Linked DNA regions of Schizosaccharomyces pombe. Changing the gene in region 1 together with any one later gene gives a genetic interaction. Each region holds a gene or a part of one and is shown on either strand. Other genes may lie near its edges. The genes, in order: gsf1, gsf2, rad24 and mbx2.

The links.
Region 2: of gsf1 (region 1) and gsf2, changing one suppresses a phenotype caused by changing the other (phenotypic suppression), as found in Schizosaccharomyces pombe (2 studies listed by BioGRID).
Region 3: of gsf1 (region 1) and rad24, extra expression of one rescues a mutant of the other (dosage rescue), as found in Schizosaccharomyces pombe (one study listed by BioGRID).
Region 4: of gsf1 (region 1) and mbx2, changing one suppresses a phenotype caused by changing the other (phenotypic suppression), as found in Schizosaccharomyces pombe (2 studies listed by BioGRID).

Annotation. Positions count from the first base shown.
Region 1 is NC_003423.3:3,009,512-3,015,579, forward strand, and holds gsf1 (protein gsf1), read left to right. Parts: upstream 1-2,000; 5' UTR 2,001-3,422; coding exon 3,423-5,066; 3' UTR 5,067-5,568; downstream 5,569-6,068. Other genes in the region: slm9 (histone H3.3-H4 chaperone, HIR complex WD repeat subunit Hip2), read left to right, coding at 6,027-6,068.
Region 2 is NC_003421.2:959,979-967,949, reverse strand, and holds the start of gsf2 (protein Gsf2), read left to right. Parts: upstream 1-1,937; 5' UTR 1,938-3,977; coding exon 3,978-7,971. UniProt on the Schizosaccharomyces pombe protein: Galactose-specific adhesion protein essential for non-sexual flocculation and filamentous growth. Required for adhesion and filamentous growth through recognition of galactose residues on cell surface glycoconjugates. Induces flocculation when overexpressed.
Region 3 is NC_003424.3:3,382,500-3,386,240, forward strand, and holds rad24 (14-3-3 protein Rad24), read left to right. Parts: upstream 1-1,727; 5' UTR 1,728-1,768; coding exon 1,769-1,838; exon of another isoform or gene 1,839-2,037; intron 2,038-2,245; coding exon 2,246-2,988; 3' UTR 2,989-3,186; downstream 3,187-3,741. Other genes in the region: RecA family ATPase Dmc1, read left to right, coding at 1-905; inv2 (beta-fructofuranosidase), read left to right, coding at 3,548-3,741. UniProt on the Schizosaccharomyces pombe protein: Acts in cell cycle and stress checkpoint signaling by sequestering signal transducers regulated by the checkpoints. Required for the DNA damage checkpoint that ensures that DNA damage is repaired before mitosis is attempted.
Region 4 is NC_003423.3:3,624,674-3,629,191, forward strand, and holds mbx2 (MADS-box transcription factor), read left to right. Parts: upstream 1-1,965; coding exon 1,966-3,084; 3' UTR 3,085-3,985; downstream 3,986-4,518. UniProt on the Schizosaccharomyces pombe protein: Acts in transcription regulation. May bind to a MEF2-like typee II promoter sequence.

The DNA.
Region 1 (6,068 bases):
CACCACCAAACCATTACTATGCAAGAGATGGCAGTACGGAGACGGGTGAAGGAAAGAGCGAGTAGATCGTGTTGCTGAAAAGGCCGACACATCCTTTCAACGCCGACCATTGTTTCTATTTTCACACAAAAAAAATAAATCCAATCCGTGAAATTAATAAAAAGCATAGAGGAAAAACGGGTTGTATACTGAGAGCTGTCAAACCGATATGGCGACACGGCTAAATAGGAATTTCGGCGATTTGGCCCTTAAGAGCAGGACTAGATAAGTAACCGAGCTATGAAAATAGTAAAACTTAGCTCACCTTACATTTGTTGCCAGGCAAACGGTGAACCTTCTTCTATCTTATTGCTGAATTCTCGTCATTCTGGCTAGACATTGTGGGCACGCACGAGCGAAGATCTGTCACGAGGTTAGTTAGGATAACCGGCTCTACCGGGTTACTGTGGTTGTAGCCGGACAACCGTAATTATTTGTTGAGTGCTAGACAACGAATGAGATTAGATTGTATAAGAAGGAAACGAGCAAAAAAAGATGAGGGTAATAAAAATTTTATTTTTCTTTTGTAATAACAACAAATCCAAAGGAATAAGATAAAAAGTGTAAATATCCATTATTTCTCTCCCATTTCTCTTCTCTTCTCTTCCCTTCCCATTTCAAAAGTCCACTTCCTTTCATGTCGCATCTACCCACTCATCAACAAAGGAAAAAAGTTGCTTACTCATTTTAGATAACCTTTATTTATCGTTTAGTTCACGATGATGGGTGGATGCCACAAATGTTACGTAAAGTGCCAACTAGGTTGAAACCAGTCCCGGCTAAATGGAATCCCACCAGCTTCGTTAGCGTTATTCCCCTTGAATGAAGGGTGGAAAATCCCTTAGGGAAAAGATATCTCAATCTTTCGCATAGATACGAGACTAGCATGAATAACGTTGCTCTTGTTCTTCCACTTTACCCGAATATCACCTTCCCTTACCATAAACAGGTCGTTTAATTTCGCAAATTTACTTTTTTTCAGTCCACCACCCTGAGGCCGCACCGTCGTTCCGATTCCGTACGGTCCGCCATTAAGATTTAAGAGGTAGGTTGAAGAGGAAGGGCAGGGTGTTATGCAATCCAATCCCTTGTACCGGGAAAGAAAAAAGAGTTGAGAGTTTGCTTGCGTATCGACTTTTTGCCGCTTGAGGGTAAAAGCAGTGAATGGTGGAAAAATTCGTCAATCAAGCAATCAAGCGAAAAAAAAAAGAGAAAACCCACCCTGTCCAGCGAGCAAGCTTATACAAAGGGATGTTTGCTTTTGAACGGAAAATGTGCGACATTCATTCCCTTTCCCTTGCTCTTTGCCAATGTAAAGAAGACATATTTTTTTTCTCTACAATTTGAAAATGCGAGCATAGTGAAATGCTGAGATGCATTCTGATTGCTCTTCATCACCCATTGTGGCTTGTGTCTATGGGTATGTTTTTTTTTTTTATGTGTATGTATGTATGTATGTGTGTGTATGGATGATGACGCTGTTTAGCATGAGCATGAATACCTATGGTTCGGCAATTATAACTCTTGACCGCACACACACGCACACCACTCACTTTCCAAGTAGATAATTACACTGCAGAATTGTTGCTCTTCACTCCTCTCTGTCTGACTAGAAATGCTTTTGGAAGGGGGAGATGCGTCAACACGTGCCACCTCTGTTAGGGTAGTTTCCCCTTGCCTCTTTAGCCTGGCCGCCCTGAAAAGGTTTATGTCTAGATGTGCATGTGGGATGGACCTGTTTCGTTCGGTTGCGTGACCAAAGACCGCCTTCTCCTATTGGCTAGGAATCCTTTGATTAGCTTGTTAAAGAATTCGGGTTACTGGTTATGATGTCATTATTTGACTTTGAGTGCTTAAGGTAGCGCGGGTCCTCGCCAATTTTTTTTTCGCATCGACTTTGCCCCGCGAGATACTTGTTGACTTTTTTTAATATATTACTGTTGTCTTCCACCACATTTCTCCCCTTACTTGATGCCTAGACAGTGCAACTATTAATAAATAGTAGATTGTTGAAAAGTAATCCTACTATATTTATAATCAACTTATCTTATAGATTTGAAGGCGAATTGCTCGCTTTACCATTATTCATCTTCTAAACGAAAGAAAAAAACACACACACATACACATCGACAATTTGCTTGTTGCATCTTGAGTTCGTTGCTTTGTGTTTTTATTTTTTTCCATAGCAAAGTCATTAACCACCAACAAACTGCTATCCCATTTGTCGAAAGACATTTTCTTTGTAGTGTACGTTTGTCGTTTGTTTGGCTCTTTTTATTTTTAGTTGCCAACTTAATTTTCTATTTCAATTTCTATCCCCCCCTTATAAAGTTTCTTTGTTGAGGTTTTTATTTTTCTTTTTGGCCTCTTAATTAACCATCCATCACCTACCTCCCTTTCTTATCTGTCTGTCTCTTCTTTACTTAGTCTTTTGCCAGTGAATCAGTCAGTCAGTACAACCCTACCTATTCTTTCTCTTCCTACCGTTCCATACTGTCAAATAGTGCCGGCTGCGTTAGCTATTCTTAGTAAACTCGACGGTGTGTAGTGATCCCCCCTCTTCGTTGTCAAGTTTGCGTTTCGGTTCGCTCGACCTGACTCCGCCTAATTTGGGGTGCTTTTTCTTTTTGATAACCTTGGATCCATTGCTTTCGGTAGTTGGATTTGGATAGTTGTGCCCCAGCTTCGTCTCCTCTTCGGAATTATATTTTAAATTTTCCCCAACCGGACATACTTTTATTTCTTTTAAATAACGAACGAAACGTCTTTTTTAGATTTCATCCCGCTTACGTTCATCGATAATATTTTACCTCGCTTATTTCTCTCTGATCACGAAGAAGTGATTTTTGTTTTTGTTTTTGTTTTCTATTCTTCTTCGCACCTTTACTAGGTTGATTTTGGTCTTGTTTTTTCTTTTACTTATTTTTGTATTTTTTTTCGGTCGATTGGTAACTTAGTTTATTCTGTGGTTTTCGTCCTTTCACATTCCTCATTAAATTTCGTAAGACTCACTCGACCACTTTTCTGATTTGCATTTTTATATTCCGTTTGATTTGGTATTCTTCGTATATTATAGCATTTTTGTTTGCTGTTTAATTTTGCCAAATCCTCCACTCCCAATTGATTGAACTTAATTGGTAACGCACTGATAATATTTTATTGTGTTGCTCTTCTCTATAAAAATATTTTTTTAGAATCGAATTTGTATCCCACCCTTTATTTTAGGACTTGTCGACTTTCCTTCTTTTCTTTTCTTCTCTTACCAATCAGTTAGTTGTCTTCTACTGATTGTAAAAAGGTTTTTACGCGGACTGGCTAATTTGTATTTTCGCTTCTCCTTTTTGTTTTATAACCGTAAATTTCTTATTTTATAATCTTTTCCAATGGAGTATCATCCTTCTTCTCAATCTCCTCAGGTAAATCCTGGAATGGAATCCCAGCAAGGCGGTTATACGTACACTTACCAACAGCCAGCACCTCCAAATTCATTGCATCTTCAGCATCCCTCAATACTAACTCGACTTCCCCCACTCTCCTCCTCCGTAGTTTCTCCTTCTCTCGCTTCATTGCCGCCTTTTACTCCTACATCAACATATCATTCCATTGCAGCTCTAACTCCACCCTCCTACCCCCAGAGTTCTTCTGCCCCTTCTAATAATTCATACACCATAGTGCCTTCCCCCCATGACCCATCGAATGCCTATAGCATGCATCATGTCCTTCAAAATACTGCTCCTCAGTCCGTTCCATCTCCTTCTCCCATCGAGATGGTCCCTCCCTCACCTCCAAAAACTGGCTCAAATAATAGTGCTCCTGTTACCGGTAAAACCGTGCAATCAGGGAATGCTCTTAATAATAGTGGGTTGGTTAAACGCCAAGCTAGAAAAAGAACTAAAACTGGTTGCTTGACCTGTCGCAAGCGAAGAATTAAGTGTGATGAACGGAAACCGATTTGCTACAACTGTATCAAATCGAAAAGGCAATGTGAGGGTTATACTCATTTCCCTCGCCCCTCTGGCACATTTACGGCATCTCGAAGAATCCCTGTTTCCAGTTTATTGTCAGAGCCAGCGCCACATGGTTTAGCTGGCCAACCTACACATCCCACATTTCTTTACTATATACAATCGGTGGCTCCTTCCCTTTGTCTTTGGGATGCATGTCACTTTCCCCCTTTAAGTCCATATTCTTCATTTTCAAGTATATATTGGTCATCAACTGTTCCTGAACTTGCTTTAAGAAATCCCAATATTAGTGTAGCCCTCTATGCTTTCGCCAGCGCCAAGCGTCATCTAACGGATGATGCCGTAGCTTTTGCACGTCAAGCCCGTGTTGCGCTTACCAACATTACTACCACTGACAGTCTTCTCATCTTAGTCTTGCTAGCAGTTACCCAACTATACATTCCAAAAAGCGATATCCAACTCTTCAATTTTGCTGTTGATCAAGTAGTCAAGTTTGATGCATCTTTAATGACTAGCCCTAGCGATGAAATTATTACTTATTTATTGCGCCGTATGTTTATTCGTCAAGTGGTATTGGCTGGAATTGTGAAGCCATTAGCATCGGGTTTGAATCCATTGCCTTTACTCAAATGTGATTTGCCCCCTGCAACTACACCTACTGCTGTTCTCGATGAATCTCTTTTCCACCTTGGTTTACGAAAGCTTTGTCATGAAAAGGGCCTTGAGCCCGAGTTTACTAAGTGGTCGAAAAATTGCCCTATAGATAAGGCTGATTTACCCCGCCTGGCTCTACTGATGATTCACGCCGTTTTCACCTCTCCTGTATCATTAGCTCAATGGGTTGAATTGATCCTTCAAAATCCTGACCCAACACCCGCCATTCATATCGCGAGAGCGTGCCTATTAGCCGTTCATGGCGTCGTTGATTTGGGTGATTTACAAATGAAAGTTGAGAAATGTGTACAATCCTGTGAAGAACGCCAACTTCAAGCTACCATATCGAACTTTTCAACAGAAGTTGCTCAAACTAATTCTTCCGCTTTAGCCATTGGTTGTCAATAACTATCTCGCAGCTTCTAATTTCGTCTTAAGAAGGTTGCTGCCGTGTACTTTGTTGCTTGTATAATCAGGTTTTATTAATAAAGCAGCAGTAAATGTTAACATCTCCTAAACGCTTAATCCTGGTTTAGTGTTATTGCATCAGAGACGTCATGTTTTTTCGACGAAATTATGTTGGAGCTAGTAATAAGACACAAGCAGGCTTTGTTTTGAAGAAGATTGCTAAATTTTATCAATTGTGAAGTTAAAAAAGGTGATTGGACTCTTCTTTTCTTTTATAAAAATAATCATTAAAATGCTTTTATCGGCTTTTCGATGAAATATACATATTTCTTTGATTCAGCTAGCAAATTTGACGTGTTTGACGTTTAATCAGGTTTATCGTTCTACAGTTATACGTTATGGATGGACTATCCATTATCATATTGTTTTTGAGTTTGTTTATTTTTCGTTTGTTTGTTTTCAATGAAATGCATTCTTTACTATTTTGTTGCTATAATTCCGAATTAAATTTGTAAAGTATGTTATATTCCCATGCAGTTTACGTGTTTTCAGAATAACCTTAAACCCACTAGTTGTGTCTAGATTTAGGTTTTTAACTAAAGTTTTTTCGGGAAACCTCATTATCGAGTTATCACCGCAATTATTGTGAATTTTCTTCTTATTCTATTATTTTTGTAGCGAAAGTAATCTTATATAAACAGCGTAAATAAAATCAAATTAGAATACGTTATTTAATGAAATTCATATTGTAATTGTACGAAAGTTGATCCACGCTTTTCATTTAATTACATTTGCTTAGGAAATGCGTGCTTAATTTGGTTGCTAAATCTTAAGTCTCCCAGACGAGACTGTATTCAACGCACTTCAACGCCATAGCCGAACCCGATAGTGAACGTTATTCATGAATTGGGAGAATGAAAAATAAAAGTTAGTAAACAAAAGTTCCCTCACCCCACAACGATGCACATTTTTGTGCCTAAGTTATTAGAAAACCATCAATTT
Region 2 (7,971 bases), on another chromosome or scaffold:
TGGAAAAAATAATATAGAAATAGAATTAACAAGTGGGACACAAGTATCAAAGTAAAAAATAAAATATAAATAGAAATAAAGAATCAAATTACCATCTTGTATATCTTCTTCTCTTTAATTATGCTTAACGACGACCTCGCTAATCGTAGAAACCTCTTGTTTTGAAAAGGTGAATAACGAAGCGGAATGGAGTCACAATGTTCTCCTTCTTCATATGATGCCATAAATAAACAAGGAAGCGAAATTTAAAAGCCGCAATTGGACAATGTGTTTGACATCATCCTTCCACTCAACGAACAGATAACATCATGTCATGACGTATAAGCTTTAGTGTTTTTGTATTTGAGAAACAAACATTGGTCAAGGATTACCGAAAATTTAAAGGGTTGATTTACCGAAATCATGACGTATTCCATTCAATTTCAGCACGAGGAAGAGGTAAAGAACATCAAGTAACGGAGACCCTATGTAAATAAAGAAAGCATGGAAGAACAAATAAAGGTAAGGAACAATAAAATGTCTAAGAAAAAAAAGAAACAAATACGACTTCTCTTCGAAAAAAAACAACAACAACAACAATTAACGATTGCTCTTTTCTTTACATATATATATTTTTTTATCGTAATTTGATTGCCTTGTTTTCCATGGGAACCCGAGTGTATGAATATTGGTGAATTCGTATGTACACATAAAACTTTACTGTGTGAAAACAAATAATGAATTAAAAAAAAAGAAAAGAAAAGCATCTGATTCAGCCACCTCTTTTTTATCTAATTTCCCTTCTACAGTTTATGAAAATTGGATGCATAATCGAAATTGCCCTCTTGCCTTGTCGGACCGATGGTTATTTACTAATAGTATATAAGCCTACCCCTTTTGCTTAACGAAGCATTTTACGAGTCGTAAAGTTGAAATTAGCGAAAAGTTTCGCAGCACATAAATTGACAATTCCACAGAAAAAAAAAATGTTTGAAAGAGAGAGAGTGTGTGTGATTCAGGATTCTCTTTTTTTATTCTTTTTTATTTTTGGGGGTAAGGTATTCTACAATACACGAAGAAGACTTTTTTTAAAATGTCCATCTAAAAATAGAGAAACTTAGAAGACAATCGAAGAAAATAAGATCCCCTTTGATCACTGAATGCACTACACTACACTGCACTAATTCCGTTTATGAATGCCGTTTAGTACGGCAGGAGCGGGTTACTGCTAAAAATAAATAACGACGGCTACTAAGAATAGAAAGTAAAGTGGGTGTGCTATCCGATGTTGGTTATTTACAGAAATAGACGAGAAACACAAGAAGCTGCTTACAAACAAAAAGTATTTGTTGTGTGAATGGTGGATGAAAATAGAAAGGTTCTTGTTTTAACTTCTTCTCATATCTTTTAAACGAATAATTAATGAGTGTTTCTTTATTCGTGAGTCTATATTCTCGGGTTTCCTTCTCAAACTTTCATCCAAAATAGCTAGTTCTATAAAAATAACCATTTCAACATGTGCCTAGGCATTGCCGGCTTTACCATCCATGATGGCTAAGCCAAACTAGCTTTAATCACAACCAGAGCAAAAAGTACACACTGACCGAAAATAGTACATACTGACCTGACTGTTTAGTGAAGTAGAGCGTAGCATGTACACAGTAGCAAAAAGGATATAGTACGTTGGCTTTGACGTTTGGAAAAGAAGCAAAAGAATTCATTTCATTCTAAAAAGATTTCCATATATTTTATGTAATTTTTCTCGTAATTATCAAGGCTTTCGTTCATTTCTTGTCCTTGTTTTTCCGATCCAATTTGCTTAAAAAAAAAAAAAAAAAAAAAAAAACTCATTCCGATTCACTATATTACTTAAGAATGCAGTATATATAATTAGCGTAGAGTAATGAGAGTTGCAAAAATTACCACCATTCTACGGGACCAGATTGACAACACCTGGTGAGCGCCGCCATGCATTCTGCCTCCAAGGCAAGCTGGACTATAAGCCGGCAGAGGTTTGACATACTTGTAATTTTATGAATTGGACATATAGAAGTAAATGCAAGTATTTTTATCCGAGGAGAACGCTAGTTGGAGGGAGAAGATGAAACAATAGTGGTGATAACAAAAAAAACAAAAACAATTGCCAAAAATTGTAGGAAAAGAAATTGGAAAAGGACGCGTAAAAAGTCATTCAAATCAGTAGAAACTTTCCAATGCGCGAATGGACATCCATCCATAATATTGAAAGGTTATTTTTCGTTTACAATCGTCGCAATTCAAATAGACGCGAAAAAATAGCAACTGAACGCTGCCACCTTAAAATTGAACTAAAAAATTTCAATTATAAATGCTTTGATCACTAAGCAAACATTGAAAATCTAACGACTTAGACGTTGCATAACTAATGAATTGACATTGCATGAACTACTACTACATCCTTCTAAACACCGCCTTTCTCGCTACCACAACCCCATCTCTACTACACTTCCACTCACTTACTCATCATTCTTCATAGTCGCACTTTTTCATTTCTCTCCTGTCATCTCCACAAATTAAATCTTAATCTCTTGTTTCACTAGCTTCTTAATTGCAATTAAAATTGCGCTTGCTACATCCTCTACACTACTCCTGTAATCAGCCTTCTTTTCTTCTCTTTCTTTAGCATACTCGGTCTCGTTATTCCATATATCGAAATTTTCTTCTTCGCTCGACCTCGATATTCTTAGGAACCAGCACAGAATGCAAAAGTGGATCCTTACCTCCATGTTCCCGAGATAGAGATTATTCCCTAGCCGAAATTAGAATTTGCGAAGAGGTTTTATGTTATCGCGGGGTCTTCCACATAGGTGACAACGATTTTTTAAATTCGAATTCAAAATGTTTCTCTAAAAAAAGAAAAACTTGCAAAAACGGGGAACATTTGAGAAAAGGGTCATCGGGGTACAGAGAGAGGGGTATAGAAAAAGTCGCAAAGGAAAAATTCCGTAAATATTCATTGCTAAAATTTCACACAGATTGGTTTGGGTGTAGTTATTTATAAATATGGCCGCATCTACTTAAGAAAGTTATTTCGCTCCTACATTGAAGGCGAGTGGTCGAGTGTTCGTCAATCAGTCATCAATTGAACATCCAAAACATTCTTAACGAGATTAAGATCGTTGACTTTCTTCTATAAAAGCAAAGCATCGAGAAAGATTCGAACATTGCAAAAAAAAAGGATTACCTATTCCATATACACCATCTGTCTCTCTCTTTTTGTTGAGGTTGCTAGAGTTTGGTTATTGGAACTTTCTTTTTTTTGTTGTATCATCATTTGTTTCCTTCCTTCCATCTTTATTTTGGGAAAGCGACTTGATCTCTCTTCGCTGCACGAATCTGTGATAACAATATCTTCACTCATTCTTTTCGCCAGCATCCAATTTTGTTTTTTTTTTGAGAAACAAATCTGCTCTTGTACATATTCTACATTCTTTTGAATTACAAGTGGGTATTTTACATTCATTTGAATAATTTAAAATAAATCTGGCTAGCATTTATTTTTTAATATTCTCCCCTTTTTTCTTTACATCCCCCATTCTATCGTCTAGGATTTCGGGTTGAAATTGGGTTTTAAGTTGTCCTACATTTACACAAAATAAACACTGGGTAATTTCGTGTTTGGGTTGGTTTGGTAATACAGCTTGCGAATCTCCTTTCATCCAGTTATTTTTTATTTATATATATTATTTCTTTCATTAATCTTTTCGCAATTTTGCATTCATTTAAACCCTCTTTTCTTCATTCTCTGTTGAAACTACGAGCTTTATTCATTTGGGATTCACTATTTTTCTAATTGAATTTCTATCATATTATCAATAAACGCGCTCTGCACACCAATCGTCAAGCATTGGATTTAATTTTGTTTTTGATAATATTTAATTTTTTTATTCGTTTGGTTAAATTATCTTAATAATTTTGTTTTTTTCTAATTCACTTACCCGTTTTTGAATATATCAACAATGTCTGTTAGAAGGTTTTTATCCACATCTGCTCGGGCATTACTTTTCACGGCTGCTCTTCTTCCCTCCTTGACTTCTGGTCTACCTTCTGGAAATGTCAGGATTTTGCAAAAGGGAATGGAACCTGAAGATTACCTTTCCTCTGCATCACAAAATGAAGTGCCTCACGATATTTCACTTCCAAAGACCGAGCTTGCGGATCCAAATTTCCTAGTTGACGATATGCCAACCTTACTTGGCAGAGACGCTGCTGTTGATCCTAGCATGTTTACTAGCACCTTCACAGTAAAAAATGGAAATGATGCTAACTACATTACTGCTAGTCCCGTTAGCAACGACGCTTCCATGACTGCTATTAGCACTTTTACCTCAGGGAAAGAAGCTTCTTATGCAATTCAAGCAAGCCCATCTACCTTTCTTCCTGATTCGACTACCACTTCAGGTTCACAAGTTTCAAATGCTGTTGAAGCGAGCTCAACTTTTGTAGCTGATACGACTAGCACCTCATGCAACCCAGCAACGGTTTTAATTGTAACCACATCTGGTTCAACAAGTACTAGTTGTCCCCCTCCAACAACAATTCTTATTGTTACAGTCCCTACCACAACCACAACAACTACTGTTGGATATCCTGGATCCGTCACTACTACCTTGACTGGAACTCCTAGCAATGGTACTGTTATTGATACTGTTGAGGTTCCCACTACTACTAACTATGGTTACACCACTATTACCACTGGTTATACTGGATCCACTACTCTTACCACTACTGTTCCTCACAGTGGTAATGAGACTGGACCTACTACAGTTTATGTGGAGACTCCTTATCCCACAACTGTCACTACCACCACTACTGTTGGATATCCTGGATCCGTCACTACTACTTTGACTGGAGCTCCTAGCAATGGTACTGTTATTGATACTGTTGAGGTTCCCACTACTACTAACTATGGTTACACCACTGTTACCACTGGTTATACTGGATCCACTACTCTTACCACTACTGTTCCTCACAGTGGTAATGAGACTGGACCTACTACAGTTTATGTGGAGACTCCTTATCCCACAACTGTCACTACCACCACTACTGTTGGATATCCTGGATCCGTCACTACTACTTTGACTGGAGCTCCTAGCAATGGTACTGTTATTGATACTGTTGAGGTTCCCACTACTACTAACTATGGTTACACCACTGTTACCACTGGTTATACTGGATCCACTACTCTTACCACTACTGTTCCTCACAGTGGTAATGAGACTGGACCTACTACAGTTTATGTGGAGACTCCTTATCCCACAACTGTCACTACCACCACTACTGTTGGATATCCTGGATCCGTCACTACTACTTTGACTGGAGCTCCTAGCAATGGTACTGTTATTGATACTGTTGAGATTCCCACTACTACTAACTATGGTTACACCACTATTACCACTGGTTATACTGGATCCACTACTCTTACCACTACTGTTCCTCACAGTGGTAATGAGACTGGACCTACTACAGTTTATGTGGAGACTCCTTATCCCACAACTGTCACTACCACCACTACTGTTGGATATCCTGGATCCGTCACTACTACTTTGACTGGAGCTCCTAGCAATGGTACTGTTATTGATACTGTTGAGGTTCCCACTACTACTAACTATGGTTACACCACTATTACCACTGGTTATACTGGATCCACTACTCTTACCACTACTGTTCCTCACAGTGGTAATGAGACTGGACCTACTACAGTTTATGTGGAGACTCCTTATCCCACAACTGTCACTACCACCACTACTGTTGGATATCCTGGATCCGTCACTACTACTTTGACTGGAGCTCCTAGCAATGGTACTGTTATTGATACTGTTGAGGTTCCCACTACTACTAACTATGGTTACACCACTGTTACCACTGGTTATACTGGATCCACTACTCTTACCACTACTGTTCCTCACAGTGGTAATGAGACTGGACCTACTACAGTTTATGTGGAGACTCCTTATCCCACAACTGTCACTACCACCACTACTGTTGGATATTCTGGTTCGGTAACTACTACTTTGACTGGTAGCGGTAGCAATAGCATTGTTACTGAAACTGTTGATGTCCCTACCACTACTAGTGTTAATTATGGTTATACTACTATTACGACTGGCTGGACTGGATCAACCACGCTTACTTCTATTGTTACTCACAGTGGAAGTGAGACTGGTCCCACTACAGTTTATATCGAAACTCCCAGTGTTTCGGCTACTACTACCACTACTACCATTGGATATTCCGGATCTCTTACAACTACATTGACCGGTTCCTCTGGCCCTGTTGTTACCAACACAGTTGAGATTCCTTATGGAAACTCTTCGTATATCATTCCTACAACCATTGTTACTGGCACCGTTACTACTGTGACAACTGGTTATACTGGTACTGAGACTTCTACTGTTACAGTTATTCCTACTGGAACCACTGGAACCACTACAGTTGTTATTCAAACGCCTACCACAGTGACTGCAACTGAAACCGACATTGTTACTGTTACAACTGGTTACACTGGAACTGAGACATCTACTGTCACAGTTACTCCTACTGGAACCTCTACCGGAACCACTACAGTTGTTATTCAAACGCCTACCACAGTGACTGCAACTGAAACCGACATTGTTACTGTTACAACTGGTTACACTGGAACTGAGACATCTACTGTCACAGTTACTCCTACTGGAACCTCCACTGGAACCACTACAGTTGTTATTCAAACACCTACCACAGTGACTGCGACTGAAACCGACATTGTTACTGTTACAACTGGTTACACTGGAACCGAGACATCTACTGTCACAGTTACTCCTACTGGAACCTCCACTGGAACCACTACAGTTGTTATTCAAACACCTACCACAGTGACTGCGACTGAAACCGACATTGTTACTGTTACAACTGGTTACACTGGAACCGAGACATCTACTGTCACAGTTACTCCTACTGGAACCTCCACTGGAACCACTACAGTTGTTATTCAAACACCTACCACAGTGACTGCGACTGAAACCGACATTGTTACTGTTACAACTGGTTACACTGGAACCGAGACATCTACTGTCACAGTTACTCCTACTGGAACCTCCACTGGAACCACTACAGTTGTTATTCAAACACCTACCACAGTGACTGCGACTGAAACCGACATTGTTACTGTTACAACTGGTTACACTGGAACCGAGACATCTACTGTCACAGTTACTCCTACTGGAACCTCCACTGGAACCACTACAGTTGTTATTCAAACACCTACCACAGTGACTGCGACTGAAACCGACATTGTTACTGTTACAACTGGTTACACTGGAACCGAGACATCTACTGTCACAGTTACTCCTACTGGAACTGCTACTGGAACCACTACGGTTGTCATTAATACTCCTACAACTACTGGTTCTGAGGTCCTTCCCACTACTGGTGCTACTGGAACTGCTGGTACTGAGACTCAACTCACTACTGCTACCGAGGTTCAACCTACTACTGGTGCTACTGGCACTGCTGGTACTGAGACTCAAGTCACTACTGGTACTGAAACCCAAGCTACTACTGCTACTGAGACTCAAGCTACTACTGCCACTGAGGTTCAAACTACTACTGGTGCTACTGGAACTGCTGGTACCGAGACTCAAGCTACTACTGCTACTGAGGTTCAACCTACTACTGGTGCTACTGGAACTGCTGGTACTGAGACTCAAGTCACTACTGCTACCGAGGTTCAACCTACTACTGGTGCTACTGGCACTGCTGGTACTGAGACTCAAGTCACTACTGGTACTGAAACCCAAGCTACTACTGCTACTGAGACTCAAGCTACTACTGCCACTGAGGTTCAAACTACTACTGGTGCTACTGGAACTGCTGGTACCGAGACTCAAGCTACTACTGCTACTGAGGTTCAACCTACTACTGGTGCTACTGGAACTGCTGGTACTGAGACTCAAGTCACTACTGCTACCGAGG
Region 3 (3,741 bases), on another chromosome or scaffold:
TAAAATTGAAGCAAGCAGGCGTTTGTACGGTGCAAGGAGTCCATATGTCCACAAAGAGATTTCTCCTTAAAATCAAAGGTTTCAGCGAAGCCAAAGTGGATAAACTGAAGGAAGCGGCATCAAAAATGTGCCCAGCAAACTTTTCCACTGCGATGGAAATCAGTCAAAATCGTAAAAAAGTATGGAGTATTTCGACAGGATCCGAGGCACTCAATGGCATCCTTGGAGGGGGAATTCAGTCGATGAGTATTACAGAAGTATTTGGAGAGTTTCGTTGTGGTAAAACACAAATGTCGCATACATTGTGTGTCACTGCCCAGCTTCCTCGAGATATGGGCGGGGCCGAAGGAAAAGTAGCATTCATAGATACAGAAGGAACATTTCGACCTGATCGAATCAAAGCCATTGCAGAACGATTTGGTGTAGACGCCGATCAGGCTATGGAGAATATCATTGTCAGTAGAGCATACAACTCTGAGCAACAAATGGAATACATCACAAAATTAGGAACCATTTTTGCTGAAGATGGCCAATACCGTTTGTTAATTGTCGATTCCATCATGGCACTATTTCGGGTTGACTATTCGGGTCGCGGGGAATTATCAGAAAGGCAACAAAAATTAAACATTATGCTTGCTAGATTAAATCATATTTCTGAAGAGTTTAACGTAGCGGTCTTTGTCACAAATCAGGTTCAAGCAGACCCCGGAGCAGCAATGATGTTTGCGTCCAACGATCGAAAACCTGTAGGAGGCCATGTCATGGCTCACGCAAGCGCGACCCGTCTGCTGTTAAGAAAAGGTCGAGGTGAGGAACGTGTCGCAAAATTGAATGATTCTCCAGATATGCCTGAAGCCGAGTGCAGTTATGTGATTACACCTGGTGGCATAGCAGACGTTTCCTAATTGATTTTCTACCTATTCCAAAAAAAAAACAAAAAAAGAAGAGAAATAAGAAAAAAGATCAGCCAAGTTCAGCAATGCCTTTTATCATTGCGTTTGTGCTTATGTTTTAACAAAATTGAGTGCACTGATTACGTTAATGTTAACATTTTACTGCTGCAATACTATATCTTTAATACAATAATCAGTTCACTATTGGTCTCTAAAATGGCTTTAAAGAAAAAGTTTGGATGAGAAGCTCGCGCCATTTTAGATAACCAAACCAAGATTTTCTTAACTACACATTTATCAAATAGTTGCGAATGGCGCAAACCCCCAAAAGCAACTTATTCTTACGAGTCAACAAATTTGTTTAAGTAGTGTCATGTGAAGTTGCTATCGCATGTATCAATTAACAAAAGCTGAGCGCCTTTCATTGCAATCGTTGGACAATCTGACTTCCACCAAACAATTATATCGTGTGAGACAGAATTCGTCATCACCTTTGTTCCAGTTTATTTCCCGATTCTATGAAGGCCTGCAGATTTGCACGTGTTCAGGCACCTTCCTTTCGATGTTTACCTTTTGCGTCAATATGACAAAAGGGGTACAGTTTCTCTTGATCCGTTGCCAAGGATGTGTTTACCCCGGGGCTTTGTCGCAACAAACGAGAACAGTCCAGCAGCCAGGTTTTTCGATAACCTTCTGTCGTGCCGATAAATTACGATGCGCAGTCGCTAAATTCGACATACAGAAGCACAGGGCACGTTTACGCAGTGCTACGAAATTTTACTGTGGGAGCAGTCCTTTTTCTACCATACGACGTTCCGCAACCTTTCCAGTGCCAACCACCACGATATACTCACATTTTCGAACGTTTGGTAAAAATGTCTACTACTTCTCGTGAAGATGCTGTTTATTTAGCCAAACTTGCTGAGCAAGCCGAGCGCTATGAAGGTATGTGCTTTTATAAGGTTTAGAGACGCGTAGAGCAGAGATATATTTGGTGTTATTTCTGCAAGAACAAAATTACACACATCCAAGGTTCTATCGGCGGAAGCTTTTGAGTAAGCGGGCTTCCTGTAAAACATCGATTGCATTTATTTTTGACATAGTTGTGATCAGAGGCTTAGTTGGTAGAATGTTTGTGTTTGTGTGTTGTATGGTGGTTGTCAAATGAACTGTGCATTGGCTATGGTGATGTTGAAAAGGTGTTTTAGTATTTCAACTTGTTTCCTAACTTTATTTCTAATTGTTTTTACTCCGAGAAGAAATTTTTTTGTTCATACAGACATACGGAAAATACATCATGCTGCGCATCTCGAAAGTCGAAATCCTTATGTACTTATCACTAATATATCCAGGCATGGTTGAAAACATGAAAAGCGTTGCCTCCACTGATCAAGAATTGACCGTCGAAGAGCGTAACTTGCTCTCTGTTGCTTATAAGAATGTAATTGGAGCTCGCCGGGCGTCTTGGCGTATCGTTTCCTCCATCGAGCAAAAGGAGGAGAGCAAAGGCAATACTGCTCAAGTTGAATTAATTAAGGAATATCGTCAAAAGATTGAACAAGAACTTGACACTATTTGCCAAGATATCTTGACCGTTCTTGAGAAGCACCTTATCCCTAATGCTGCCTCTGCCGAATCCAAGGTTTTCTACTACAAGATGAAGGGTGACTACTATCGTTACCTTGCTGAGTTTGCCGTTGGTGAGAAGCGCCAACACTCCGCTGATCAATCTCTTGAAGGTTACAAGGCCGCTTCTGAAATTGCTACCGCCGAACTTGCACCTACTCATCCTATCCGCTTAGGTCTTGCTCTTAATTTCTCCGTTTTCTACTATGAGATCTTGAACTCCCCCGACCGTGCTTGCTACTTAGCCAAGCAAGCCTTTGATGAAGCTATCTCCGAGTTGGACAGCCTTTCCGAGGAATCCTACAAAGATTCTACTTTAATCATGCAATTGTTGCGTGACAACCTTACCTTATGGACTTCTGATGCTGAATACAGTGCCGCCGCTGCTGGTGGTAACACCGAGGGAGCTCAAGAAAACGCTCCTTCCAATGCTCCAGAAGGCGAAGCTGAGCCCAAGGCGGACGCATAGATAGCTCGTTGCTCATGATTGATGCCATACTTTCACTACTATGAACCAATTTTAAAAAATTTATTTGTCTAAGAGTTCTTTTTCGTTTAGATCTTGTGTACTACACGATGGAATAGTCTCATTACATTCTCGTATATTTTCTTCTAATTTTTTTTTCTTTTTGTCTTTCTTTAAATTTCTTTTTTTTTTACAGTCGTAGTATATGTGTGTATTTGGTAGCTGCTGTAAAAAATACAGTAGTTGGACGACATTTTAATTTCGAGTACACAACCCGTAATGATTTGCTTGGCTAAGTGGGTGTTGAGTTAATCAAGCAATAGTCTAGATAGATGTGAGTTTCAAACTGAAGAGTTGGTAGATTGAGAATGTTTAAGCCTATCGGATTGAATTTGAGCTTTTTGACTGATTTGCACCGAATTGCTTAATATTCCTTGCATACGACCGATGTACCACTTTTTACACAAAGCTTAAAAATTTGTATGTTCTAGTGATACTCAAACATTATTAAATATAAAAGCTTTAAGTTTGCATATAAAACGCACAGTAAACATTTGAATCGATGCCTGTGAGACCATGCATACATTTCACGCCTCCAGAAGGATTTATGAATGATCCCAATGGTCTGGTTTACAGTAATGGAAAATGGCATTTGTTTTTTCAATGGAATCCAACAGGAAACCAAGCCGGTAATCAACATTGGGGCCATGCAGTGAGTAAAAACCTGTATAAATGGAAATTACTACCTACCGCCCT
Region 4 (4,518 bases), 620 kb from region 1:
ATGTCAGTCGCCAGATAGGACTACTCCTAAAGTCTAATCCAAACTACTTCGTCTAGCTATACTAAAGTATAAGCAGGTCGTAACGGTCGATTCATTGCGAAATCAAATTACTCATAAGCTACCTCTCTGGTTATTTTTTCCCAATGTACTGTATTCGTATTGTACCCCATTCTTACCGGATACATTTATTAATAGAGCAAGTTACGAAAAGCAAAATCAGAGCGAGTCTATTTTCGGACTTGTGTGTCTAAGTATAGTCAAGGAGCGGAGACAACACTCGTAATATTGTTCCTTCACGCCCTCCTCCCCCTTTCCCCTTTGAATTGAGTATCGTACACTGCATCAGTAATAGGGTCAGCGTTTCCAATTGACTGACTGGTTGAAAAGTGAAGGATTACATACGAAAATCCCTAAACGCGATCATCAGCGCATTCCGAATTTTCGTATCTTTCTATCTCTTCGATTCTTTCTTTAGCCTTGCCAAGTATTTTGGCTGGCCCATACGCTTTGCCTGACTATCGCGTCTAAAAATAAAATCCCCTTTCCAAAACCTTGGATTAGGTGCATGGGATTACTATGATTCTTTCCTAATAATTGCTAATCCCGCTTTCTTTCTATTTTTTTCTACTATTACTGCAAAGTCAGGTTTGCAATCCAAGTGGACTTTAACCATACTCAAAAGGTACCTTCTAACCTTCTTTCCATTATGTCCATCTTCCTCCTCCAATTAAAGGATTTTCCTACTTAGGGCTCATTTAATCGAGGCTATCCCACCTTTTTCATGAAAAAGTATTCGGCCTTGTGACCTCCCCTTTTCGAAAAGAGAGATGAAGAAATAGTTTAAATTACCCGAGTAGCCGAAACGGTGAATTTTCAGAATGTCTACATGAGGAACATAATGTACACTTATACGCGTTTGTATATTGAGAATTCATCGGTAATGTTGGCAAAGTGCTACGCATCTTCGGATAAACGTGAATGGAAGACATTTAGCCCCTAATTTTGGTGTACTTATGCAGGAAAAACCTATCCCTTAACAATTGCCTATGGAGGGAAAGAGAAAATTTTTTTCGTTCACTATTGGAATTTATTTTCTTTTGCATAAATATGTACAATGGTATGTTACGATGCTGGCGTCGATACTTGTCTAAGTTAGAACGCAGTGTGTATTACGAAGGTTGCATTAAATAGACGTTGCGGTTTCCTAGTTATTGCTATCCCTGTATATATATACACATATATATGTACAAAAACACGTATTTACACGCACTTATAAACGCACACAGACAACAAACAAATACCTAATTTTATAATTTCAAGTTGTTGAGACAGATTAATTTATTTATAAAACTTGGCGAGAAGATATTTTTAAACCTGACATTGAAAAGGAGGGGACAATTGTTAAAAATATAGCTTCAAAGGCAAAAATTTCTCCAAAGTGTTGATTCTTCCTCTTTCTATTTTAAAAATAGCACACAAAAACATCTAGTCATTTAATTTGTCTTTGTTCCTCTCATTTGTAAACACTTGAAAACCACCCGTTCCGGCTATCTTGTTTACTAAAAAAATTTTTTCTATTAATATCTTTAGTTTCGTCGCCCGCTTCAACCCAGAGTACAAAAACAAAAATAGCTTCCTCGTTTTTAAATCTCAACTTAGATTCGTCTAATCGACTATCAATTACGAGCACAATTGGAGAACTTTGCGCTCTTGTTTTCTCAAGCGAAAAATCTACCCTCAAGAGATCCGGTGCAGAGAAGGGAAGACAGGGATAAAAACTGTTACATAAATTCCAAGAATAAACCCCATCTGCTGTTTTCTATTTGTTCCTTATATACTTGCCCGTTTGCTCGCTCGTTTGCTCGTTTGTTTTCGTCATTCTCCCTATACCTGAATTTTGGTTAACCTCGTCGACTCTTTTTCTCTTTTCTCGTCAAACCTTACTAAATATATACAACGTCTAATATGGGGCGCAAAAAAATCTCCATTGCACCCATAACCGACGATCGTTCAAGGAGCGTAACTTTTGTCAAACGAAAACAAGGTCTCTACAAAAAGGCGTATGAACTCGCTGTGCTAGCCGATTGTGAAGTCGCCGTCACAGTCATTGATCGGAAAGGACGTTTGCACGTCTTTTGTTCCTCTGACTATCAACGTACTCTTCAACAACTCAACACTCTCAGCATATATGAGTTAAAAAACCGTTCTCATTTTTCGTCATCGCCTGTCGAAGAGTCAAGTACCGTGTCTCCAGAAACGACAACTGGTTCATTTACTCCTCTTAATAATAAGCATTTGAAGTCACAGGACCAACCTTTATCAGACTCCCAACTCGACACTGGTGATTCTCCTGCAACATCGGAAACGACTGTTCAGGACTATAATCCTCAAGTTCAGTCTTACTGTCGTCCCGAGCCTTTATCGTCTAATCACGTTCGTTCTTGTCCTCCATTTCCTCCCACACAACATCATCATCCCCATACTCGTCCTCCTCATCATCCACCTCATCCTCATTTTCATAACAATAACTATCCACCGCCCTATTGTTTCCAATCTCCTGTGTCTCCGGGTGCTACAGTTCCATTGCAACATCATTCTCCGTACCCTAGTGATAACGGCTTTCCTGGTCATCGTAGGCAAACGCACTTCGCTCCTTACTACTATCCACAAAGAGCTACGTCTCCTTCTTTGAAACAAGTTCCAACTTATCTGGGTACTCATGTACTGCAACAAGACCAGTCCACCTATGATCAGAAGGTCCTTATGCCTCCAGCAAGTTATCTTTCTTCACCTAATCAATACACCTTAAAAAATGTCTCTCCTGGTAACCCGGCTTGCCCTCCTTTTCTCTATGAACATCCAAATCCACAGCTAACGCCTGAGATGTTTGATGTTAAACAAGGCTCACCTATTCCGCCTACTGCGTATTCGGGTAGCAGTTGTGAGACTTCTCAACATACCATTGCGAATACTCCATTTTTGGCATATGATCGCTCTCCTTCCTTAACGAATCAAGAAGCTGAATCATCCTTCCAAGACGTAGCTTCCATTAGTCCACATTCACTCAGTGATGTCAAATACTAAAGAATATCATAGAAGTCAATCTCCCTTTCAAATGTCTTCATCATGTGTCCTCCCTGGATCTAATGAATCGTATACAAGTAATAATTTTAGTTGGCATACATCTCGATCAAATCCTTACAATCGTTTTCTTACTCAAACTGCATATGATTTGGAGCAATCCAAGCACCAATAGTTTACTGCCAAGCTGTGCGATGCCCATTTTTTTAATTTGACTTACATCGCATTCCAGTAAACAATTGTTAATACTAGGTCTATCAATTTATCGTTATAGTTGAATTACGCGAACGAAATTACTGACCTAGCAATAATTGAAGTTTGGAATGTTGTTCAATAAAATGGACACCTACCGATAGCTTATGGATTCAATGTGAACTACAAACCTAGCATGATTTCAGACGCTAGCAAATACAAATACCTGAACATTTCAGATGTGCCAATGGTTTAACTTTGTTAACTTCCATCTTCGGTATTTTGGATCCTCCCTGTTATGAATTCAAGATGGTGATTTTCGGTTTAAATATTTATTTGCAAACTGCGGGCAGTTTATCACTTATTTATTCAGGCACGCATTTTGTCTATTCAAGTGGACTAAGTTTTTTCGTGATTTTGTTTTAACCACCTCCTTCCACTTCATTAATTAATTCACCAACATGTAACATTCGCGGACCAACCTTTATGTTCGCATTCAAATTTTTTTTTGGAGCCGCTAATTTCTAATTAGACGTTTCTCATTCGTTTTCAAGGTTATACATGGTTTATTTTCGTGTGTTTGACTCGATTTTTTGCTAGATTTTTCACGGTTTCTCCTTTTTAATCAAGAACGTTTGACGATTCACAGAACCTTTTTCAAACCCCTAATTACAGTTTTCAACAATAACATGAGAAATTCGAACTTTCCGTGTAGTTTTACAGAGTAATGTTTAAGTGTTTGTTAGTATGTCGGTGTGTAAGTGTAGCGTAGCGATAACCGTCCAGCTTCAAAGGTAAGATGCAGGGGAGTAATGCAGCAGCTAATTTTATATGGCGGAATGAGCATGGTAGCACTCTTCAAAGAAGGTGGAATAGGAATTTGGCTTCATGCGAAATTATGTTAACAGAAACCTGAGTTTCTGTAACATATTATTATATACGTGGCTTAGGACATCCAAACAAATAAATGAAATTCTTTAGTATAAGAAGATGAAGAAGATATAAAAGATTACCAATGTTATGCAAACGATGGAACATGAATCAACCGCATAAAACTCAGTCGCTGTATCAAAAATGACCATCGTGGGATGCTGACATAGGCAATCAAGTTTCTCACTTCAAATAAATTAGAGACTGATTTGGCAAATATTTGAGAATTGATCCTCTATTTGACAAATCATTTTAACTTATTTTATGACAGACAAGTCTGTTTGTATTTTGGGAATAAAACCTCGCATTATCCAA